Linked DNA regions of Lonchura striata. The protein of the gene in region 1 binds, or shares a complex with, the protein of each later gene. Links are inferred from orthologs where the notes say so. Each region holds a gene or a part of one and is shown on either strand. Other genes may lie near its edges. The genes, in order: ZMYND8 and DBN1.

What was found.
Region 2: the proteins of ZMYND8 (region 1) and DBN1 are in contact, whole or in part, in a crystal structure (PDB 5Y1Z), measured with the Homo sapiens proteins. The link is inferred for Lonchura striata from reciprocal best matches to the Homo sapiens genes ZMYND8 and DBN1. Residues at the interface, in NP_001350670.1 of Homo sapiens: Gln167, Pro168, Gly169, Thr170, Gln236, Ile237, Val240, Lys243, Ile244, His247, Trp269, Leu285, Gly287, Phe288, Phe307, Gly309, Gln310, His311, Asp312, Ala314, Thr335, Lys336, Ser337, Ile338; in NP_004386.3 of Homo sapiens: Met1, Ala2, Phe6, Ser7, Arg10, Leu11, Leu14, Tyr17, Glu18, Asp92, Ala93, Cys96, Ala97, Ala99, Ser100, Lys104, Glu107, Phe108, Gln110.

The regions. Positions count from the first base shown.
Region 1 is NC_134619.1:8,583,786-8,592,572, forward strand, and holds the start of ZMYND8 (MYND-type zinc finger-containing chromatin reader ZMYND8), read left to right. Parts: upstream 1-5,551; 5' UTR 5,552-5,668; coding exon 5,669-5,682; intron 5,683-5,816; exon of another isoform or gene 5,817-6,087; intron 6,088-6,241; exon of another isoform or gene 6,242-6,767; intron 6,768-8,787. UniProt on the Homo sapiens protein: Chromatin reader that recognizes dual histone modifications such as histone H3.1 dimethylated at 'Lys-36' and histone H4 acetylated at 'Lys-16' (H3.1K36me2-H4K16ac) and histone H3 methylated at 'Lys-4' and histone H4 acetylated at 'Lys-14' (H3K4me1-H3K14ac).
Region 2 is NC_134617.1:3,197,974-3,206,296, forward strand, and holds the start of DBN1 (drebrin), read right to left. Parts: upstream 3,593-8,323; 5' UTR 3,493-3,592; coding exon 3,407-3,492; intron 1-3,406. Other genes in the region: PDLIM7 (PDZ and LIM domain protein 7), read right to left, coding at 7,104-7,190, 7,470-7,585, 8,057-8,177. UniProt on the Homo sapiens protein: Actin cytoskeleton-organizing protein that plays a role in the formation of cell projections. Required for actin polymerization at immunological synapses (IS) and for the recruitment of the chemokine receptor CXCR4 to IS.

The DNA.
Region 1 (8,787 bases):
CAGTAAACATTGGCTGTAAGTCCAGCAAGAAAAATAACAATCTGTTAAGGTGGCAGAATGAATTCAACAGTTTATGTACATGCTAATTAATGTGAGTGAGTGTGCTAATTACAGGCAGGGCTTTCACCTGGCTTCGGAAAGCAAAGCCACAGCCAGAAAACGTGTTGCATCTTTACAGGGACATGATTCTATTTTTCCAAGGCTTTTTTCATTCCTGAAGAGACAAAAAGTCAGATCTACAGTGTCATTAGGACATGAAGAAAACCTAGTTAATACCACGAATGTGATGAAAAGCAGGATGCAGTGCTTGATCATGTAGTTTCACAGAAACTTCTCATGGTGGTCGTGATTGTTTCAATCACCTGGAGCTGCTCAGTGCTCCCAGCCCTGCCTTGACAACAGTTACTGCAGCAGTGCTCTGAACTGGTGTGAACTGGAGCCTTCCCTGGCTGAAGTCCACACAATTAATCTTTGATTCACAGTGTCACAGTACAGACAGTTCTGCTCAAAGTGCAGCTAAGTGCTGTGGCTGGAAGGAAGGGTGAGAAGCCAGTAAGTCTGACTGAAAAAGAAAAGAAACTTGTGGTGGAAAAAGAAAGGACTTTTTGCTGGTGAGAGGTAAACCACAAAACTGAGATGAAATAGCAATTGGAATAGCACATAGAGAGGAGAAAGGTGTGAATATGCAGAGCCTTGAAGCTGAAGCCAAACTGTGAATTTAGTGTGTGGAGGAACATGAAGGAGGTTAAAAGTGAAAGTGATGCAGTCTGAATCTGCAGTGGGTTGTGCAGGAAAAGTTAATGTAATTACTTTATCTTTGTAATTCCGTCACTTGACATGTTTGGTATGAGCTTTAGTTTCTGGGACATTATCAGATTTAATTTTAAAACCCCAAAAGAAAACAACAGTAATAACAAACCAAAACATGAAAGAAGTCATGTCATCTGATTCCTGAATGTGAAACAATCAAGAAAGAAATCCTGGTAATAGGATTGGAGTTCAGCATTATGTGGTCCTGAATAATTCCTCCCAAATAGCAGTGACTTCCTTTTGTTTCCTTTAGAAGTGCACTATGCCAGAGTAAGTGATATATACAAGATGTCTCACACTTGGCCATTAGAACCACTTGGTGAAGTACAAACTTCTTTCAAGATTCTGTACTTAGGCCTCATACAGGGTATTTACATTTATTTCCATGGCCACAGAGCAGGGCTGATAAATCCACTTGTTCACCTGCACCGTGGGCGTGCACCATGCCTGCATGTGTCTCACAGCTGCTTTCTGGGCAACTAGAAAAGGATTTGCCTGCATATAAAATATGAAAGCAATTGTATCTGTTAGGCCTTCAGTACAGAACATAAAGTTTAAATACATAATAATGAAAATTCAATTTTATACAGAATATCCAACAGCCCAGCTGTTTAATTGTGGAGAGACTGGTCCAAAGTGGGGGTGAAAGCAATGAAATGGGCTTATGCCTTAAGTACTTATTTTAAAAAGCTACAGCTGTTAAAGGGCTCAAAGATGCTTTTCTTTTTTTTTTTTCTCTCCAGCTATTTTTGGCAGATGATTGAACATGAGTGGAGATTTCCTTTGGAAAGAAATGTACATGAAGCAATTGCACAGCACGCTAAAAATGCCTGTCAAGAGACACTTTGATAATGCACCAGATATTCAGTTGTGTGTTACAAACTGAACCAGGTTTTAACCTGCAGACAATGAGTGACCATTTCAATCCAGAACAAACAGTGTCAATCCAAAGTACTGAAAGCTGCTCTTCAGAAGGACCAATGCATGCAAAGCCTACTAAGCTCATGGGCAAACCAGGGACCTGCTGTGCATAGATACCTTCTCCTGTAGTTTCTAATAATTTATGAAACTACCAACCTTCTTTGACAGGTCACTAATTTTAGAAGTCAGTCTAGTTTTAAAAATTGAGGAACTGTTTTTATAGACATTTATTGCTGGATTCTGTACTGGACAGTGGTCTACTGGTCTTTGAGCAATTACTGATACTTTATCTATATTCATGATAAAGGAGACAAACTTCGAAGAGTTTTTTCCCAAGACAATGAGTGACAGTGTTTTATGTTCTGACTCTAGAAATCAGCATTATCAGCCAAAGACCTGGAAATCCCAGATCAAGCTACAAACCCTTAATGCATTTTCTTTCACTTGTTTTTATCTATTTGTTTATTATACTTGAAAAATATGACATTTCCCCTTTTGTGTATCTGTTAAAATGCTCCATCTTTTGTCCATCACTTAATGTTCCATCTCTGTCAATGATGATGCAGCCACTGTAGGGAGGGGTAAATATCAACCCCTGCTTCTGTCATACAGGCAGGCATTTTTCTTACTGGTATTTGTTTAATTTGGAGGCTCTGGTATATATTAGGTAGTATAGTTCCTTATAACTCTCTGATGCCTGGTGTGTGTGCTTGGTGTGGAGATGGGCACAGTGGGCAGAGTTCTTTGCAAAGACCTGTATAATGGGCTGCACTTTTAACATTACTGTCTTTTAATTTCCTTTTGAGAATTTGCTTTCCATCTTCCCTTTGGTTTCTCTGTTTAGCCTTTTTTTCCCCTCCCTGCCTCACAGCCCTGTTTTCCCTTAATATCTCTGAAGAATTGAAAAGGATAAATACAAGCTAATCTGCTCTCTGCCCTCTTTTCTGCTTTAACAAAGCTTTTAGCTTCCCCTTGCATGCTCTTCTTTTATTTGTTTTGTTTTCTTTACCATTTCTTCCCTCCCACCAAGAAAAAAAAATCACTACTCCAATGTAAAATAAATGCTCAAGCTGTAGCAGGACGCACAATCATGGTGACTTAAGACAAAAATCTGTATTTTCCAGATGTACCCGTGCATTATACCAGGCTTGTACCTCCTGCTGCAAAATAAGCATGTGGACAAGAGAATAAAGAGAAATATATTTCAAGCTTCCCCTTTGATTCCTGACAGAATTCTTTTGTCTTTTTGAGCAGAGTAGCTGAGTGGCTGAATATACATACTATATCTGTCTGATGTGCTTTCTATGGTTTTGTTCCTGCTAATAACTGCAGGTTTATAAATTTTTCTTTTGCATTTTTGCTTCCTTGAATCAAGAGGAGAGGGGCCTTAGGCCTTTCCTAAGGCTGCTGTTGCCTCTCTCTCCACTGTGTGCTCATTCTGTCTGATAGGCCCAAGTGTGTCAGCTTGGCAGCGTTCCCAGGCACCATCAGCATTACAACATTCCCCGAGTCGGGTCTGGGTTAGCACAAAGCATTGACAAATTCTGTGTATTTACTTTTGTTCCCATGCTGTTCTTCATAGGGATTAGGATTTTTTTTTTTTTAAGAGAATAATATTAGAGTAGAACAGTCACACAATGAGCATAAATGTTAACGGCTGACAATCCTCACATTTACTGCTTAGAGGAATCAAAATTTGGATGTTTGTGTGCCAGGGGTGATATCTCTGAGCAACACAGGTCTTTAGGTGTTCAATTAAAAAGAAATCTATCTTGAATGATTTTCACTATTGAAACTGATGCAAGTATTCACTGAATGTCATGAATTTCCAGTGTGTTTCTGCTGCTGTAGTGGGCTGTGATTCGCTTTATAGCAGCACTCTCCCCAGCTTCTGCTTCATTCCTAAAACAGAACAAACGGTCAGTGTATCCGTGAGCCTTCCTGCTCCCTGCCCTGAAAAACATTGCAACATCTAAAAAGAGAAAATGCTTCCAGCAGGGACTCCAGCATTCCTTCTGATTTGATAATTTATACTCTGGGCTGTTAATCTGCTGTTGCAGGGTGAAATGCAGAGACAGAAGTGTAAGCACAGGATGGGCTGCTGTGGCAGTTCCCTGTGACAAGGCTACCTCAAGGAATAATCTGAATGCAGAATGGGACAATGCAGAGCAGGATGACTAATTTTACTGAGTGGCACAGTTATGAGTCACGTCAGCTCTCAGGCAGTGAGGTTTGTGTGGTAAAGTAGTTATATCGTGAGAGGTGCTGTATGGAGGTAAGGGAGGGCACTAGGTTTTGTTGTGGTGATTGTTTCTGGGATTATTAGCACTCGACTAAACGTGACATGCATATTCTGTTTGCAACTCTTGTAGGTTTATGGAAGAGGGCTTTTTATAGATGGTTTTGCACAGTCTGAGATCCTGCATGTTGTACTGGAAGAACGTTTATTTTTCTTTGATTGTTCTATCTCATTATATAATAATTATTGTTTCAATGTTAAGCGTCTCCCTCTACACCGTCCCTTGTTTTTTTTTTCTTGCTTTTGTTTAATAAATAATTATTTTATATTCAATGTGCTTCAGATTCACCCTTTCATCTGCAATTTCCATTGCAATCTTCATGGCTACAGAATGATAATATAACACAGATACAAAATTTTGAACAATAATGCAAAGGCATGGTGGAGGCTTTCTAAAAATTTAACCTTTAAGATCTTCATCTGGAGTTAAGACTTCCTTCTTGGCAAAACGATAATTTCTCCCACTTTCACTGCATTAGGGAAAAGAATGGAATCACATTTTTTAATCAAAAGCTTGGGAATTGGCCCAAGATCAAACCGGTTGCTTACACGCCGCTTTCTCATTTTGTTTCATTTGCAGCATTTTCGCAGGAGATAAAAAGGTAAAGCAAAAATATCTGAAAAATGATGTGGATGTTTTCGTGGGGGCAGACTGATAACTTGCCTCGTAGAGAAATCTGTGTTTTCAGGGCCTGTGTTGCATCTCAAAAAGCACCAAGTCCTAGAGGGTTAACGGACAGGAAGCTGCAGTTACAGCCGCTCCTAAGGAAGTCAGTTTTTGTCTAACAGCCCAGGCAGGCCGAAAGGTAGGGGCTGGGGGGGATTCCAGATCTCAGGGTCTAGGATGACATGGATATTTTTAGTTTTGCCCTGCAGCATTTTAAACACGGGGAGGGCCTGCACCAAGTGGTAGCAAGGCTCCGTGATAAAGCAATTTCAATTCTGGAGTGCTTTTTGGGAAAAGGAGACATGAGTGTTCCTGCTTAAGGCTCCTTTTTCCCTCTTAAGACTCAGCATACCACGAAATCACACTGTAGGTACATGGTTGCTGTGCTGCATGTTCATGTATTTAAATTCTGGAGCAGGAGAACCCTTCTCGGAGTCCTGAGTTGTTCATTTCAGTCCCTTCTGTGCACGTGCACTTTCAGTAAGTTCTGCTCTCCGCCTGTGGCCTCGCTTGCTCGGCCAGCGCAGCCCCAGCAACGCCAATTGCGCTTTCCGTGCGAACAAAAGAACAGCTCTGGCGACCTGGGCGAACTCTGCGTCCTTCGGGTTCAGAACAGCCAGCTGCCTTCATGAGGCGGCAGGCTGGGGCACACGGGCCGGGCAGGCGGTGCGCGGGGAGCCGCGGGCGGGCCCGGGCCGGGCCGGGCGGGCGGCGGCAGCCGGGCCTAGCGCGCCGGCCTGCTCCGAGCCCGGGATGGCTCCTGCTCCCGGAGCCGCACAAAGATAATCGCTCAGGAAGTGTCTCAGCCAATCCCCTGGCGCTTTACATGCGGATTTGCCGGGGCAGCCAATCCGGGGGCGGCTTTCATGGGGAAGACAGATCATCAAGCCCAAGTGCCAAGCCCTCCCTGCCCGAGTACTGAGAGCCTGTCCTCCATGTTTTATAAGTATTGACATAACACTGTGTTAACAATGCATCCACAGAGGTAAGCCTTGCTTTTTACATTGCTTTTTCTCTAAGACCTATGAGTTGTGGGTTGAGAGTGTGATTCTCTGTGATTTCTCGTGCAAAACTCACACCACAGCACTTATATTAAGTTGGAACTGTTTAAATTTGCTTTCTTGGGTCACATGGTTAGTAGCCATTAGCCACAGCTTTATTTTACAGTCTGGCAAAGCCTTGGCATGCCTACTTCTTCACAGGAGGATGGTGTTTTTAGAGTTTATCAAGATCCTGGTATTCCAAAGGAGGTTTCTGTCTCTGAGCAGTTTGCCAGCACTATTGTCTGTTGTGTCACATGCCTGCTGGAGAGAAAATGGAAGCTAGGGAGCAGATGCATTTAACTGCCCTACAGGGAGTCAAGCAGGGATAATGGCAGACAGAGGAACAGGCAAGTTTACCTTTCTAAACAGTGAATGGAACAGCTAAGATAAGTTATCTCTGAGAAAATATGGGATTTTTAAAAACCTAGGCATCAGCAAAAAGTGCTAATGGCAGATTGTAGATATTGGGCCTAGGTGGTGGTGTGCTGTTGCATCATGTTTTTTATGCAGCTTATCTTAACTTAAAATGATTATTGAACCTTTTTTCTTGCAGGAGTAATTAATACAATGCTTTTCTCTTTCTGAGGGACAATGTATGGTTAATATTTTGTTCCTTTAAAAGGGAGTTTTTATGCTGCAGATTTTGGAAATGGAGTGCTGCTCAGTAAAACGCAGCAGTGCATCTGTTTACAAATCTGATGCTTTATGGAAAATGTTTTTGAACTGTTAGCTTCCTTGCTTTGCATAGTTCAAATAAACTAATGCAACTTTTATCTGTGCCTTTTTGTTTTACATTGTACCAGCCACAGTTCTGTGTTGTGGAGTCCAGAAGATATAAAATCATGTGTGGTTCATGACAGTAGTACATGTTGTTCGTTCTTGGGTTTTTTTTTCCCTTTTAATTTTTTTTACTTTTGGTTAATTGCTACGTAATTATTTCAAGAAATTCCTTTTTGATCAATTCCAAAATCTGCCAGCCTGTTGTATCTCCTTAACTGGAAAAATGAGATGGGTGCTTGAACAGTTGGTAAGTAAGCAGCATGCTACTCTCTGAACATTTTTAATAGTTTTCCAAACATTTTGTTTTTACTGGGTCAGTCAGTGAAGTAGATGAAGTGATGTTGGTGGTTAGTCATATAAAAGATCAGATTTGTTTAGCGTCCATTTTAAGGGACTTGTACATGTAAACTGCTGTATTTGAATGCACTGTTTTTCTGATAATTTGTCTCTAAATTTTGAAGCTTTTACTTCCTGTTTACCTTAGGCCAGTGAAAAATATTCTACTTGCTGTTCGTTCCTAGATCATTAATTGCCATGTTTGCAGGGCAAAGCGCGTTTTCACCGTTCCTTGGGCTTTTCGGGTGTGATGAAAGTGCTGGTGCTCAGCAATGAAGTGACCTTAGGAAGTAAAGTAAATAACACTTAATGAGCATATGTTTCTGATACTATACAAAGTATAACCTCAGACAAGCTTGCTTGGTTTATAACTAATTTAGAAACATTTTGTGCTCTTTATAAAGATTTTAATTGTAGCGCCTGCATGCTTGTTTGAACAAGCTGTTTTTCAGTGATCACTAGGGCTGTTACAAAAGCAGAGAAGGGATGCTCTTTTGTGTTTTTAATGTAATTTTTGCACTTGTTTTAACAGTCCATACACATTTATTATTTTCGGAAAGAACTGAAAGCTAGGCTGGCTTTGCAAATAAATAACTGTGCTGAGGCACAGGGCATGCAAACTTTTCTAGCCCCTTGCCATGTATTTGGTAACGTTCTTTAACAGCAATTTACCTCTGTTTGCTTGTTTACCAGTGTGAGTATCTTACTTTGAATATCTCACTTTGGCTAAAAGCTTTCCTATCCTATCCCCCTCTCCATGTTTCCCCCTCCTCCCTTCCCCCCCCCTGCCCCCCCCAGTCCCCTAGGATTAGATTATAAGAATGTCTAGTTCAATTTAAAACCTGAAATACTGCTGGGGTACCACTGAATTTCATGTGATAGTATTTCTGTATGCAATTTTAATGCATCTTTCAGTATACGTGAAAGTGCTGACACAGCTAAGAAGTTATTCTGGTTTTTGCTCTTCAGTTGCTAAAAAACAGAAATTACATTTGGACACAATTTTCCTAGTAGTAGTTTATACATGCTAGCTGTTTACTTTCAGCCTTTAAGAATGGGCAACATAATATTTGTTTAATGTGAGGAAGCAGGGGTAAGTGATCTGCAATCAGAAAGCTTGTATTAAAATGGCTCCCACAGGTTTTGTTAAACCAGGATCTGTTTCAAATCTGCACCTCCAGACACGCTGCTGACAGTGAAGCGCATTTGTGTGAGCTGCCCTCGTGCATGTAATGAAACGGAGCATCGTGAGTCTGTTAAAGTTCACTATTTTCAATCACTCGGGTGTAATTCTTTTATAGTTCACAAAAAACAAATGTCTGCATTGCAGCAAGATGTCTGAGGCAAGGTAGAGACAGCAGCGCTGTGCCTCGGCTCAGCCCAATGGCACTGCTCCGCCAGCGCCGGAGCCAATTGCTGCAGCAGGCAGGTTAAAGATTGACAATTGCAGTGGCAAGGCTGAGAAAGGCCTTCTGGAAATTTCTGCCATCTTTGTTCCATCTAAGCAAAGCAAATTCAGACAAGCTGAAGGATTTCAGATGTGTATATTTTTTGGTGCTTTGTCAAGGTACAGTGTTATCACTCACTTCCCTAGGTTGTGTAATAAGCTGTTTTTTCTATTCAGGACAGATGGAATGTGGGTTTTTGTTTTAAGTGACAGATGCAGGGAAAAAGCACGTATTGCTTTCTCCCCAAGATTTTACTGGCCTGGATCTTGTTACAATCACAATTAGACAGGACATGTATGAAGCAATGCAGCTGAGGTTTATTCAGCTTGGAGCAAATGGCCATTATTCTGATTATAACTAGCAGTTAATCGTATAATTACACTGTAAGTTTTCTGGCTACTAGAGAGCAGTTTGAATTGCCCAGGATGAATATGATTAGGCATTATTATTTAGTGCCAACATCCAGTTACTTTTGTAATTAAC
Region 2 (8,323 bases), on another chromosome or scaffold:
AGCATCCTCCATCACCATGGCAACCCCCCCCATCCCAGCTGGGATGCAGCTCGCCCCGATGACGAGGTGATTAGTGGAGGGGAGCGGGGGAGGCAGGCAGGCAGTGGGGACCTGCGGGGCCTGGCAGGCACCCAAACCTGCCCGCCACCGTCACGCGCTGCACCCGGAAAGCCAGGGCCGCCCGTGCTGGATCCCCCACATCCCTGCTCCGCCGCGGGTGGGCGGCTCTGCCGATCAGCATTCGGCTGGTGGTGCCCGCACGGCGCTCCTCAGAGCCCCGAAATCCCCGCTGTGCCCAGCAAAGCCGTCCTGGCTCGAGCCTGCAGCTTCAATCCACAGCCTGGGGAACAGGAATCGAGGGTCCCTACGGGCAGAGCCACCCCCAAAACAGAGCCTGGAGCTAAAAAGCAAGGGGAAGGCAGGCAGGTGCCTAAGAGGGAGAGGGCCTCCCTCTGCCTCCAGCACCCGCCGCCCCCCGAGCCCCTGGCAGGGAGCCGCAGATAATTGCACCAACAAGATTGACTTTAATCCGCACATCCCGATCCCGCTAATCGGCCGCCCCAGCCGGCGCCAGCTTCCAGGCCTGGAACAGCTGCAAAGTGCCGTCTGTGACAGGGAAGGGTGGCAAATGCAGCCCCTGGTCCCCCCAGGAATGGGGGAGGAATGGCAGCAGTTTGGGGGAGCCCAGGGCGGCGAGCTGGAAGCTGGCAGGGTGGGATGCAGCTGGCAGCAGACAGGAGAAAAGAAGTAGGGCAGAGCTACAGCATCACTGCCTGGGGAGCCCTGTGGGTGCTGGGGGCACCCACTGCCTGCTTTTCTTCCCCAGAACCCTGCCATGCTGGGTGGTTTCTGGACACAAAGCTGCTGCCTGCACCCGGGGGTGCTCCCAGGGCAGATGGGGCTTGCTGTGGACACAGCTCAGCAGCACAGCCTGACTCCATGCCAGGATGGAGGTTTCCATTCCAGGAGACAGAGAAGCCGTGCTGGGGCCAGTAGCATCCCCAGGGGTGCCCCCAGGGCCCCACAGCCCAACAGCACCACCACAACCCCTGGCAGTGGGGACCAGCTGTGTCACAGCGGGTGCTGTCAGCATCATGCATCACTTACCCCACTTCCATGGCTTTAATCCCTCCACCCAACCCATACAGCCCTTTCCCACCCCCGGGCTCCAGGTATGTGGGTCACCCGTGGGTGGAGATGCCCTGTGCAGCCCGGAGCGGGGGCTCCCCGCAGCCGGGGGCCTCCACTGAGGATCCCTCATCACCCCAGGCAAAGGCACCGCAGCCCCGCTGCCCTCGCATGGCCCCGCTGCTCACCGGAGCAGGCAGAGCAGCATCCCCGGGCGCCGGAACGGGGCTCCCGCGGCAGCCCACCCCCCATGCCACGGCCAGGGAGGGGTCACATCGCCCCAGCCTCCCGCCCCAGCCCCGGCACATGTGTTTCCAATGTGGCTGGGAGCTCCAGGGAGTCGGCGTGCTCAGAAAGCAGCACCAAATTCCTTTCCGATCGAGTAATGGGCCCCAGCAGCCTTCGCGGGGCCGGGCAGGGGGAGGGGATGCTCGGACCCTTCAGGACCGGGCTGGAGCAGGGGAAATCCCAGACTAAACCGAGGGATCCCGGGCGGGCATGAGCGTGGCATTCCGCGGTGGCGGCCCAGGGCCAGGCTCTGGCACAGTGTCCCCCCAGGCAGCTCCCTGGCTCAGCCAGTCTGGGCCCTCCTCCCCGTGGACTGTCCCCATCACCTTGCCCGATGGAGCCCCACCAGCATCGCCCCTCATCCAGCACCCCCGCAGCGGGCCCTGCAGAGGGGATGATGTTCCCACAGGCACTGAGTGCCAGGAGCTCCGGTGACAATGGCATGGGGTGGCTGGGGACATTGGAGCAGCTGGGGACGATGGACCAAAGTCAGCCCCACGGATGGGGATGCCAGGGGATCACTGCCTGGCCGGGATCAGCGTTGGAGGTGTTTGTGGGGGAGCCGCCACCGGCCCCCTCGCCTTCCCGGGAACCGATTCTGCTTCTCTCAGCAGCTTTGGCAGGGACGGCTCCTTTGCAGCGGATGCCGGGAAGCGAGATGTACCCAGGGCTGACAGCTGCCGCCTGGCCGGCGACACACACGGCGCTTGCCCGCAGCGCCCCTGGGCTGACAGCGGGACTGTGGGGCCCTCCGGAGACCCCCGGGGACTGGGGGCACCTGGACCTGCCCAGGCCCACCCAGCCCTGTCCTGAGAGCAAGGACCTGCTTAGAGACAGACGTCTGACCGGCTGGGTTGTGGGTGCAGCCCAGCTGGGAGGTGGGAGTCCCCGGATGGGCGGTGGGTATATCCCGGAGGGGTGGTGGATGCCCCTGGCTGGATGGTGGGTGCACAGTAGCTCTCCTCCGTCCGCCCCCCACCAAAAGCATCATGCACAGCATGCACCCAGCACTCCACACTGCCCAGCGAGATGCGCCCCAGCGCGCCGGCAGCGCTCCCACCCAGCCTGCCAGAGGCACCCTGGAGGGCAGGGAGGGGATGGCGGGGCAGATGGCCCCAGCCAGCCTCCCGGCACCCGGCTGGGCTGGGAGATGCGGGTGGGCTGGCAGTGGGTGATGCTCCCTGCAGCGGGCCCGGATCCAGCCGACCTCGACAACCGGTGCCCCGCACCGGGGCGCGGGCAGCGCGACAAGCCGGGGGTCCCAGCGGAGAGAACCACTCCCCTCCCCGACTCAACAGCAACCCCAGCCCGGCGGGGCAACCCCGGGCCGACACACCGCGACCCCCCAGGGATGCGGCAGCCCCGGAGCTTGGGGGAATCTCAGGGTAGCGGGAGCGGCGGGAGATGCTCGGTGTCCCCGCGGCTTCAGGCCTCTCTCCGCCGGGCAGCGGGGCCGCCCGCTGCCGGGATACCGGTGAAGCCGGTCGGGAGCAGGACCGGTCGGGAGCGGGGCCGGGCTGCGGGCGCCCCGATCCCCTCCCCATCCCCCGTTGCCCCGGCGCCCCTGCCCGCGGCTCCAGCTCCAGACAATGGCGAGGAACCGGTGCCGGGCCCAGCACCGGGGAGCCCCACGGGGCCCTCCCCGTCGTGCGCGAATTCCCCCGCTCCCCGCTCTCGCTGCCCGGCTGGGGGTCGGACCGGGCCGTGCCGGGACTCCCGGGGCCGACGGGTCCCGGCGCCCGCACGTGCCGGCCCGGCGCAGACAAAGCGGGGACCGCGCCCCGGCCCGGTGCGGCGGGCAGGTGCGGGCACCGGGGGCGGCGAGCCGGGCACACCCCCCGCCGCCCCGCCCGCCTTTGTGTGCCGGGGCTCGCGGGGACGGCGGGGGGCGCAGCTCGGGGCGCGGCCGGTGTTACCGGGCGGCTCCGTGCACAAAGGGCGGCGGCGGCGGCGGGGACAAAGGGGCGGCGGCGGCGGCGGGCGCGCTCACCAGTCGGTGGGGCTGTCCTCGCCGATCACGTCCTGGTAGGAGGCGAGCAGCTCCAGGCGGTGCGCCGCGAAGCCGACGCCAGCCATGGCGGGGCCGGGATGCTGCCGGGGGACCGGAGGGACCGGCCGCCTGCCCGCCTCCGAGACACTGCCGCAGCGGCCGGGCGGAGGGGCGAGCGGCGGGGAGGCTCCGCCCGCCGCCGCGCCCGGTCCTAGCGCCGCGAACGGCGGCCCCCCTCCCCTCCCCTCCGCCCCCCCGCCCGGCCCCCGCCCCCGCCGCGCCCCCGGGGCGCCCCCGGGGCAGCCCGCCGGCCGCGCCGCCCGGCCCCGAGCCGGGACCCCGGGGGTGCGGGCAGCATCACCCCCGCCGCGGGCCGCCCCCGCACGCAGCTCGCCCCCGGGATCCCGCAGCCTGGGCTCTGCTCTGCCCCCGCAACACCGCGCTCCGGGCCGTCCCCAGCCCCAGGGACACTGAACCCCGGCTCAGCTCCTCCTGGGAACCTGCACGCCGGGTGATTTCGCATTCCGGGCTCTCCTCCGCCCTGGGGACGCATCCTGCGCTGCCCCTCCTGGGAACTTGCACTCTGGAGACCTCTCGTGCTGGGTGGTCCTCTCCATTCCCATATTCTCCCCTGCCCCACATCCTCTACACCCAGGGATGTGGCACACATGGCTTCCCGTGCCCTCCGCTGCCCCACGCCGAGCCCCCGTGTCCAAGGTTTCCTCTCCAAGGACACGGCACCGTCGGCTTTGCCCTAAACACCCAGCCATGCCCTCACTGCTCGCACAAGGGGTCACTGGACACAGCCTTTCTGGGGGCGTCTTTGCTGCCCATCTGCTCCTCTACCCCCACCACTGCCAAGCCACCGGTCCTTTCAGAACCCTTCAATCACCTTTTTCAGGAGGTTTTGCCTCTGTGCGACCCCACAGCTGGTTTTGCACTGACCCTCGAAGGGCTCTGAAGGGGCTCTCAGCCAGGTCCTAATGCTCCTGCCAGCGATTCCCTGTCCCCGGCGCTGCCCCCAGCCTGGACCAGCACCGCGCTGGAGGGGTCTCTGTGCCAGAGCAGCAATGGAGAGCACGCAGGGCCCGATTCCTGCGGGATGGGGATGTTGGTGGAGTGGCCCGTCACAAAAGAATCCCTTCAGGCAGCCCGTGGGACACGGGGACATGGGAGATGAGGGACATGGGACAGGGTGCCGAGGGTCCTGGCGCTGCCGCCCGCTCCCCCCACGCCCTCCTCACACCAGCATTTCCGAGCGAGGCCAGAGCCGGAGCCGCCCTAAGAGGCTGTGAGAGTTTGGGAGCAGCTGTGGAGCAGCTGCCGGGGCCAGCGCGGGGGCTGGGGCCGGGGCAGGCGCCCCACAAGCGGCTCAGATGGCTTTGGGGGTGGATGTGGTGAGACCCCGCTCAGGGATGTGGTGGGAGCTCCGAGCCTACCGCCGCCAGGCTTTGTTCTCCGAGCAGCGAGGCTGCAGCCCCTCCCCAGGCTCCACCTCCGCAGCCCACCCGAGACCCTCCTTCCGCTGCCTGTGCACAAGGTCCTCACATGGTGCGCAGAGCTGGTGGGCAAGAGATGCCCTTGGCAAAGCGCAGAGGCACCTTGGGTGGTAGAGGAGTCATCAGGAGGGCCCAGAGGCAACAGGGAACCAAGCAGAGCTAAGCCCCCCGCGAGCACAGACCTTGCAGTGGCACCAGGGGATGCTTGGCTCTCCCCAGGGAAGAGGCAGGTTGACTGTAGCACCCTGGCCCTGCTGCACAGCTGGGCACCCCGGGGCTGATCTGGCAGAACCTGTTCCCAGCCTGTGCTAGCCCAGCAGGCTCCGTCCCGCACCACTGCCTGCCCCTGCCCCTTTCCTACCCTCCACTCACGGGTTGCTGTCCAGCCAACCCAGGGTTGGTTCAGGGCCTGCCCATGTGGGGCCACAGCCACCTCACCTTCCCCTGTGCTTCCTCTGACCTTGGCTGCACAGCTGGGACTCACACGTGGGCACTCAGCCCTGCTCCTGCCAGCCCTGCCAGGCAGGCACCAGCTGCTTCTGTGCCATGTCCTGCTGCTTCTCAGTGTGACCATCCCACTGCTCTCACGTGCCCCAGCCCGACTGCCTGGCCCAGCCCCAGCTTGACTTCATCCCTCACCTTTCCTTGCCCCATCTTTGATGTGCTTTTGCACTCCTGGAACTGGCAGTGAGAAGATGTGGCACCGCAGCCCAGATCTGGGTGATGCCAGGAGGTATTTGGCTTCCCACAGCCAGCTCCTGCCCCAGGCAGAACCTTCCAGTAGATGAGCAAGACGATTTTCCTTACAATTGCTCATCATGGCAAGAGCTGCAATTATTAATGACCGTTCCAGCTGTCAGAGTGGAGAGGGAGGAGAACACCCACACGCGCTGCCCTCGAGCCCGTTCCAGCCGGAGGTGCTGGTGTGGCCTCAGCCGTCCTTCGGGACGGCAGCTGCAGCGTGTGAGCGAACGCTTGGCCGCTCCACGCTGGAGAACGCCCAGAGCTGGTGCACGTGGCCCACGCGTGCCCCACGACTCCTCAACCCCTCTACAGTACTCAGGACGCTGCCAGGTATACAAGGACCTCCACTAAGGTCTCACCCCTTCCCCATCTCTCCTTGCTGCATTTTGCCCCCCAGATTAATTACTGCCCCCATTAGCGGTCCTGCCTGCTACAAGAGGGACGACCCAGCCGACACAAAAGGTCAAGCCTGGGCAGAGGTGGAGAAATCTGAGGCGAAGAGTTTCCCTGGAAAGCTGGAAGGAGCTGAGTCAGGCCCCAGAGGGAGCGGGATGAGGGCAGAGCATGACCTTCCCAGCCGGCCACACCTCACTCGGCAAAACCACTGGCCTGGAGACAGCCGGCACTTGCAGAGATGTGTTTATTAAAGGCACTAAAAGCACCGTGGCTACATCAGCGCAGCCCGACCAGAGGGTGTGGTTTGGGGGGAGGCATCGGTGGCCCCAGGATGGCAGTGGCAGAGATCTCTTTGGTAGGAAGCTGTGCCCAAGCCTTGCGGGAGCAGCAGCCTGACTGGGCTGGCCATCATTACACGCTGCCAGCCCACGGCTGGGCCATGCCAGGCTGGGGGTGTTGCCAGCCCCAGGGGAGCAGGGGGGCAGCAGGGTGGGAGGCATGAGGCACAGACACCCCTGGAATGCAACTGGGGCAGGAAGCCACTGCAGTTTGAGGGTGGCTGGTGGGTTGTCATGGGCAGGGCCCCAGCAGGGGAGCAGGGCCGGGTCTCCAGCCCCAAGCACACAGCAGGGAAGGTTGGGGAGAGTGAGACAAGAGCTGGTCCTCACCCACTCAGGGATGTGTAAGGAGTATCCCTGCCCCAGCACTGAGCTGCCAGGCAGCAAGGGAGCAGGCCAGCCGTGGCAGACCCCCTCCAATTCCAGCCTCAGCATGGTTGTACCCACCATGCTGCGTGGCTCAGGGGCAGGAGATCCATGCAGCATCCCCTTTCCAGGGCTCCTAGGGCCAGTTGAGAAGCATGTAAGAAGCCACCCAGCTATAAAAGGCTCTGGACCCAGCACTGTATCTGGCTGAAGTCGAGCCAGGAGCTGCCAGGAAAGAGGCAGAAGCAAGGGAAAGGGCCAAGGGCCCAGTCTGGCTCCCTGGGGCCAGCAGGGCAGGGGAAGAGGAGCATGCAGGGCCAGGGGCATGTGTAGGCACAGCTGAATTCCCACCCCTCACACATGGGAGAAAGCATGGCTCTTGCACAGAGGCTTGTCCTTCTTGGAGTAGAACGTCTTCCCTTCCAGGTTGGTCTGGCAGATCTGGGGAGGAAAGTACAGGTGGTCAGGTCGGGGGGCTGAGTCAGCCTCTGGTCCCCCACAGCCCAGCACTGGTGTTACACAGGGACCTCCACATGGCCCTGGGGCACTGCGAGGGAACAGAAGGCTCAGAGCAGAGCCCCAGGCGTCCGGAACGGAGGCAAGTGGGACAAATCTTGTGGCAGCAGGTTCCCTGTGCTGCTGGTGTACCCCACCCAGAGCAGGACTGTCGGGGAGAGGCACAGGCCCTGCAACAGTCGGGGAGGGAGGCACACTGCTCACCGCACAGACAAAGCAAGTGTCATGCCAGCTGAACCCCAGCGCCTCCAGGAACCGGTCCCCAGCATCGATCTTGAAGTCACAGCCGCGGCACTTGGTGCCAAACATCTTCTCATAGTCTGTGAGGAAAGGCAGAGCCAGGTCAGCATTTCCATGCACTACAGCCGCTCATGCCAGGGGAGCAGGGCTGCAGCTCAGCCAGGATCCCACAGGCACAGCCTGGGGACAACTCTGCCAGCCCCCATTCAGGTGAGAAAAAGCCTGGGACACCCGGGAAAGGTGTAGGGTGGCATAGCCAACACAGAGCTCCAGGGGGAGGAGGAGAACCTCATCTCCCAGGATGCAGCACTCGCTTTGATGTACATCCTCCCTCATCGCCATGGCAACATAGGAGCTATGGCACTACCCTGCAGCTAGGGAGAACCAGGTGGAGGGCTCAGGGCTGTGGGATTGGGGTCTCTGTGCTCCCCGCAGCCCAGGGGGAGCCCTGCAGAGCAGGGCAGCTCATACCCCCAGCCCTGTGTGCAGCTGCTGAGTCCCAATGCGCCCCAGGGCCACATGAGGTGACACATGGGGCCCCTGGGTCCTACCTCTCTCGCAGTAGGGCTGTCCCTCCTCCATGTAGAAGGCTCGGTTGCGGATGGGAGTTTTGCAGGCGTTGCAGGTGAAGCACTGCACGTGCCAGGTCATCTTCAGTGCGTGCATCACCTCCTGGAGGGGAGCCACTGTCAGCCAGGGGCAGGAGCACCAAGGGCAGGAAGGGTCAAGGAATCCCCTGAGATGGACCAAGGCGGGAAGGGACAGAGCCAGGCACTCACAGCAGAGGACAAGGACAGGAGATGGAGGGCAGGCTGAGG